Linked DNA regions of Macaca fascicularis. The protein of the gene in region 2 interacts with the protein of the main gene of each other region in a biochemical or structural test. Links are inferred from orthologs where the notes say so. Each region holds a gene or a part of one and is shown on either strand. Other genes may lie near its edges.

Region 1 (3,749 bases), on a different chromosome or scaffold from region 2:
CTCACAACTGTCATTGCCAGTGCCTAGAGACTATCAACAGGAGATTTTTGGCTGGGCAAGGTGGCTTATGCCTGCAATCCCAGCACTTTGGGAGGCCGAGGCAGGTGGATCACCTGAGGTCAGGAGTTCAAGACTAGCCTGGCCAACATGGTGAAATCCCATCCCTAATAAAAATACAAAAAAAAAAAAAAAAAAAAAAATTGCTGGGCGAGGTGGCGCATGCCTGAAAGCCCAGCTACTCAGGAGGCTGACATAGAAGAATTGCTTGAACCCGGGAGGCAGAGGTTGCAGTGAGCCGAGATTGAGCCATTGCACTGCAGCCTGGGCAACAAGAGCAAAACTCCGTCTCAAAAAAAAAAAAAAAAAAAAAATAGGATGCTTTCAATAAATATTTGTTGAACGAAGGAAGGAGTATCAATAGCGTCAAATGCCACAGACTTCTAAATCCATCCATAACACAGTTTCCAACAAGGATTCTAAATTATTTGCTCTCAAGAGAGGGACACCATTTCCTCGCTTGTAAAAAGACGCAACTTAGTAGGGTCGTAAGAGTTTTTTTTTTTTTTTTTTTTTTTTTTTTTTTTTTTTTTTTTTTTTTTAAACGGAGTTTAGCTCTTGTCGCCCAGGCTGGAGTGCAGTGGAGCGATCTCGGCTCACTGCAACCTCCGCCTCCCGGGTTCAAGTGATTCTCCTACCTCAGTCTCCCTAGTAGCTAGGATTACAGGCGCCTGCCAGCACGTCCAACTAATTTTTGCATTTTTGGTAGAGATGGGGTTTCACCATGTTGGCCAGGCTGGTCTCGAACTCCTGACCTGAGGTGATCCGCCCGCCTCGGCCTCCCAAACTGCTGGGATTAGGCATGAGCCACTGTGCCCGGCCGTATTAGTATTAGTTGAAAACTAAGTTAAGCCCCTCATCCCTGCTGAATTTGGACAGACCGCGTTCTAAAAATCTCTTATCAACCTAAATATGCTAGTTGATAAAGGAAATGATTAATCAAGATTGTCCTAAACACTACAGCCCTCCTTAAGCTCGCTCTAAGGTTCTAAAACGACCAAAAAAGGCGTGGACCATGCGGTTAAACTCTCCCGGTCAGGCTGCCTCAAGAGGCGGATATTAACCTCTCAGGACGGAAGTTCCGGAGCCTTCAAACGCTCGGGGAAGCGACTCGGCAGCGGACCAAGATGGCGGCGCCCAGTGAGGGACAAGCGTTTGCCGTAGGGGTTGAAAAGAATTGGGGTGCAGTTGTTCGCTCCCCAGAAGGGACCCCCCAGAAAATCCGGCAGCTGATAGATGAAGGGATTGCCCCGGAAGAGGGAGGCGTGGACGCGTGAGTTCACGAGTTAGCCCTGGGTCCGGCATTGGAAGATTGGAGAAGGCTTGGGGAGGGGGTGGCGTGTCGCGTGGGGGGTTCCCCTCGGTCGGCGTCTCGGGCAGTGGGGATGGCTTCTTCTTAGGATCTGAAAGATACTCTGGTTACTATGTTTGATCGGCTTTGATCTTCCCGTCGGGATGTACCGGATTCCCAACCGCAGCCGAAATTTTGTCATCGGACATTATTTTTGGAAGGAAAAAAAGAGGACCGTCAACTGAATGAGTTCACCTGACTTCTCTTAATTGGGAATTCTTAACCTTTTTTTGTGCCGTGGACCCCTTTGGTTCTCTGGAGAAGCTTATTAACTCTCGTAATATTTTTAAATGCTTGAAGTAAATTACATAGGATTATAAAGGAAACCAGTTAGATTAGAATGTAGTTATCAAGATAGTAAAAGGAAAAAGTTATGCAGTAACATTCTTTTTATTAAAGAGTTCATAATATCTAGTAGTATGTCTTGTCAACCGTAAAAGGTATTTGAAAACGTGCAACCACCGTAATGTGGGAACATTATTTCCATAGATGACAAATTAACGGGTACTAATACTACTATGGTGTTTTTACCTTCATTCATAATTGAAGAAAATGCTAAATCTTGTCATTTAAAGAGAAATAAATGTCATTTTTACCTATCCAAGTTTATGGATGCTGTGAATTTTTTTTCTTGGGGAAAAAATTTTTTTTCCCACACCGCCTTGAGGCTTTCTATGAATCTCTGAGAGTTTTAGAATAAGTTTATTTCTTTTGAGCTATAATCGTTGATGTAATCCTATTTTTATTAAAATAATGTTTGTCGCCTGGCGCGGTGGCTCATGCCTGTAATCCCAGCACTTTGAGGAGGCTGAGGCGGGCAGATCACGAGGTCAGGAGATTAAGACCATCCTGGCTAACACGGTGAAACCCTGTCTCTACTAAAAATACAAAAAAATAGCCGGGCGTGGTGGCCCGCCCCCGTAGTCCCAGCTACTCGGGAGGCTGAGGCAGGAGAATTGCTTGAACCCAGGAGGCGGAGGTTGCAGTGAGCCGAGATTGTGCCACTGCACTCCAGCCTGGGCGACCGAGCGAGACTCCGTCTCTGAATGAATGAATGAATGCATGCATGCATCCTTGTCTTTCAGCAATTCCCCGAATTCCCCGAGCACTGTTGAAATGCCTTCCACTGAAAATGAGAGAATTGCTTTGCTGAGTTTTTTCTCCCTGATTTTTTTTTTTTTCATGAAATTTCCTGAAGATCTTTACTTTGATTCGAATTTTCTAATTGGTTCTTTTTTTTTTTTTTTTTTGGAAGGAGAGGGTATCAAAGGTTCCTGCAGGTAGAAATATCAAAATTGTTTTTTCCGCTGTTATGAGTCGAATTTCTGCCAGGCGCGGTGGCTCATGCCTGTAATCCCAGCACTTTGGGAGGCTGAGGCGGGCAGATCACGAAGTCAGGAGTTTGAGACCAGCCTGACGAATACGGTGAAACCCCGTCTGTACTAAAGATACAAAAAATTAGCCGGGCCCACGCCCAGTGGTGCGCAACTACTCGGGAGGCTGAGGCAGGAGAATTGCTTGATCCCAGGAGGCGGAGGTTGCGGTGAGCTGAGATCATATGTACCATTGCATCCCAGCCTGGGCTACAGAGTGAGACTCCGTCTCACAAAAAAAAAAAAAAAAAAAAAAAAAAGTCGAATTTCTGAAGAGATTCAAATTGTATAATGCATACCTGAAGTCTTTCTGTTTACTAAAGTTATGCAAAATACTTATGGAGAACAGTGAATGAGTGAGGAGAATAGTTTACTAGGATTAGTGGAGCCCTGTAGAGGTAGAAATTGACTGAAGTTTAGATATGGGTAAACTGTAAAGAGTTTTGAATGCCAGACTGAAGAATTTGGATTTTATTTAGTAAGTATTATAAAACCATTGAAAATAATAACCTGAGGAATGACATGAGTAAAATGATTTTTAGGAAGCTTAAAATCCAGCGTTGGTGTGATTTATGATACAATGTGTAGAGAAGCTAGATAGAAAACATTTAAGCAGAGGGTACTGTGAAAAGTTTACCAACAGTTTTGCCACTTTATATTAGGAAGGACACGTCTGCCACTTCCCAGTCAGTTAATGGATCACCCCAAGCGGAACAACCTTCATTGGAATCTACAAGCAAAGAAGCCTTCTTTAGCAGAGTGGAAACATTTTCTATATCCTTTTTTAGTTCATGTGAATTGCACTTTCTGCCTGCTTCTAGAATTCCTCCAACGTATTACACTACTTACTGTAATGTTTTAAACTTTAGAATCAAACCTTGGTAAGAAGTTATATAGGAAAGTCAGCATCCTAATGTGTTATCACTCAGAGGGACAGTTGAGGTTATCTAACCTTTTCTTTTTACAGA
Region 2 (3,649 bases):
CCTTGCACAGAACAAGAACGAAGCATCAAGAAACAGCACATTTACAGGCTGGGCACGGTGGCTCATGCCTGTAATCCCAGCACTTTGGGAGGCCAAGGTGGGTGGATCATGACGTTAGGAGATCGAGACCATCCTGGCTAACATGGTGAAACCCTGTCTCTACTAAAAATACAAAAAATTAGCCAGGCATGGTGGCACGTGCCTGTAGTCCCAGCTACTCAGGAGGCTGAGGCAGGAGAATGACGTGAACCTGGGAGCCGGAGCTTGCAGTGAGCCACGGCACACCCCCTGGGTGACACAGCGAGACTGTCTCAAAAAAAAAAGGTATCCTCCAAAGTTAGAACACAACTTTAAAAAGCCCTAAAAAGATGGCAGAAGAAACTCAAAGCAGAAGGCTACTCCTGGCATAGAAGTCTTGCAGAAGAATCCTATAGAAAAAGGAGAGGCCCCAAAGGAGCAGGCAAGAGATGTCAGTGATGACATTAAGACGATGCATTAAAAACAACTGGGGGCTGGGCACGACTGCTCATGCCTGTAATCCCAGCACTTTGGGAGGCCGGGTGGGTGGATCATCTAAGGAGTTTGAGACCAGCCTGGCCGATATGGTGACCTCATTTCTACTAAAAGTACAAAAATTAGCTGGGTGTTGTGGTGGGCACCTGTAATCCCAGCTGCTCAGGAGGCTGAGGCATGAGAATCACTTGACCCGAGAGGCAGAGGTTGCAGTGAGCCGAGATTGCACCACTGCACTCCAGCCTGGGCAACAGAGCAAGACCCTGTCTCAAAAAACCAAAACCAAATAAAAATACAAAAAATTAGCCAGGCATGGTGGTGTGTGCCTGCAATCCCAACTACTCGGCAGACTAAGGCAGGAGAATTACTTGCTTGAACCCAGGAGGCAGATTGCAGTGAGCTGAGACGGCACCATTGCCCTCTAGCCTGGGCGACAGTGTGAGACTCCCTCTAAAAAAAAAAAAAAAAAACACACACACACACACACACACACACCAAAAAACTAGGTAAATGTGATAACGGTATAGTTGACGCTACTATGTTTATGCTGCCATATAGAATACTTGTGTTTGTAGGAAAAGGGCAAATGCCATTAAGAGAAAGTTTCAAAAGTGGGATCAAATTGAAGTGAACCAAAAAGTAGCTTTTGAGTGTACTCCTTTTGGGCACAAATAATTTCACCAACAACTGGACGCACATCAGCCACACTAACACAAAATGCCTTGTGTTAGGGGTGGCTGTAGTCTTTGAGTATATTCTACATTCTCATCCACTTGCTGACCCATTATTACCTAAAATGCAGAGTTTGGGACTTAACCATTCCAAATACGGTGGAGATTGCATATATACATATCAAATTCAATCTGTGGACTTTCCTTCAGAAAGACCGATAGTAGTATCCACCCTGACTTCGAACTTTCCTGCACAAAGTGGCAAATAGACTCCATTGATTTAGTGACTTTTTATTTTAGGTATTCCATGAAGGAGAATTTGAAAGTGCGATCTCTTAAGAAATGCTGCCCAAGTCCTGCTTGAATTATTATGAACTATTGATAGAAAAGACTTTCATAAAGTTAGATGCAGTTTAGAAAAAAAACTAATGATAATACTGACCTCAAGTTGTCTCAGATAAGCATAAATATCTTTCACATATTCACTACAAAGGTTTGGATCGGCTCCATCTTCTGCATCCACATCATTTACTGCAAGAATTACATCAGAGAAAGCCTGACACAGGTCTTCTTCTGCAGGGGCACATCCAGATGTTTCCATTGGGCTTGGAGAGGGAGTATCGACCTTAAAACAAAGAGATCTCTTGAAACAAGAGCAAATAGGAGTAAGCACTATAGTTTGGGCTTGAAGGTCAGGTTATTGGTACCAACTCAAGATAGTGTTCTCCTGAATCAACATACAATTCATTTCCTTAAAGGAAAAGTATCTTTTCATACTTATTCCATTTCTTTTTAGGAAGTGATTAACATCCAAAGTGATCATTTGGGTTGGGCGTGGTGGCTCACGCCTTTAATCTCAGCACTTTGAGAGGCTGAGGTTGAGGCCAGGAGATCAAGACAAGCCTTGGCAATATAGCAAGACCCTGTCTTTGTTAAAAAAGAAAGTGATCATTTAATTACTCAATTAAAAAGAATGAGGTCGGGCATGGTGGCTCAAGCCTGTAATCGCAGTTCTTTGGGTGGCTGAGGTGGGAGGATCCTTTGAGACCATGAGTTCGAGACCAGCCTGGGCAATATAGCAATAACTCATCTCTACAAAAAATTAGCTGGGCATGAAGGCAACTGCCTATAATCCTAGCTACTCAGGAGGCCAAGGTAGGAGGATCACTTGAGCCCAGCAGTTTGAGGATACAGTGAGCTATGATTGCGCCATTCTGCTCCAGCCTGGGCAAAAAAAAAAGAGTGAAATGCCAACTCAGAGTGAGTCAGTTTAAAGTTGGAAGCAAATAAATTCACATTCTAGACTTTCCTGCAAAGGAAACTGAGAAGTAATTAATCTTTATCAGCAACATGTGAAGTTAATCCAAATAAAGGACAGTTCAGTCTTTAGTCTTTATTTCAAAATATAAACTGCTTCTCACTACTCAAAATAACATAAATTCTATCCTGACTACTAAGGATTAACTTCATTACCATTAACCACTTCCTTCAAGCTCCCTTTATCCCATTGTTCAAACATTTATTGAGCCCCTTCTTCAAGTCAAACTCTACAAGGCATTGACTTCATGGCATCCTCAAGGGACTCTGAATTTAGTAGACAAAGTAAAGAAATAAGGTCGGGCGCGGTGGCTCACACTTGTAATCCCAGCACTTTGGGAGGCCCAGGTTGGCGGATCATGAGGTCAGGAGTTTGAGACCAGCCTGGCCAACCTGGTGAAACTCCCTCTCTACTAAAAATAGAAAAAAAAAAAAAAAATTAGCTGGGTGTGGTGGCGGGTGCCTGTAATCCCAACTACTCAGGAGGCTGAGGCAAGAGAACTGCTTGAATCCAGGAGGCGGAGGTTGCAATGAGCCAAGATCACGCCACTGCACTCCAGCCTAGGTGACACAGCAAGACTCCGTCTCGGGAAAAAATAAATAAATAAGTAAAAATAAGACTGAGACTGGGCATGGTGGCTCATGTCTGTAATCCTAGCACTTTGGGAGACTGAGACAGGTGGATCACGAGATCAGGAGTTCGAGACCAGCTTGGCCAACATAGTGAAACCCCGTCTCTACTAAAAATAGAAAAATTAGCCAGGCATGGTGGCACGTGCCTGTAGTCCCAGCTACTTGGGAGGCTGAAGCAGGAGAATCGCTTGAACTCAGGAGGCAGAGGTTGCGGTGAGCTGAGATGGCATCACTGCACTCCAGCCTGGGCAACAGAATGAGACTGTCTCAAAACAAACAAAAAGACTGATTCTAGGAACAGGGGTGGAGATGGGAGAAGTTCAGGAAAGCTTCAGGAGTTGGTGCTTGAGCTGTTTTCAAGGATGAAAAGGTTATTAGCTAAATGAAAGGGTAGGGAAGGCATTCTTACTAAGTGGGAAAGCAAAGGTAAGAATCGGTATGGACCTTTCAAGAAAGCATCATGTAGTTTGATATGCCCAAAGACCATGCTGGCTACATGTTTCATGTGCTATGCC

What was found.
Region 1: of the proteins of CCNB1 (region 2) and ZC3HC1, one has a biochemical effect on the other in vitro, tested with the Homo sapiens proteins (3 studies listed by BioGRID, with this or other methods). The link is inferred for Macaca fascicularis from reciprocal best matches to the Homo sapiens genes CCNB1 and ZC3HC1.

What each region holds. Positions count from the first base shown.
Region 1 is NC_088377.1:171,558,439-171,562,187, reverse strand, and holds the start of ZC3HC1 (zinc finger C3HC-type protein 1), read left to right. Parts: upstream 1-1,176; 5' UTR 1,177-1,184; coding exon 1,185-1,330; intron 1,331-3,443; coding exon 3,444-3,555; exon of another isoform or gene 3,556-3,749. UniProt on the Homo sapiens protein: Required for proper positioning of a substantial amount of TPR at the nuclear basket (NB) through interaction with TPR.
Region 2 is NC_088380.1:74,832,817-74,836,465, reverse strand, and holds part of CCNB1 (G2/mitotic-specific cyclin-B1), read right to left. Parts: intron 1,810-3,649; coding exon 1,627-1,809; intron 1-1,626. UniProt on the Homo sapiens protein: Essential for the control of the cell cycle at the G2/M (mitosis) transition.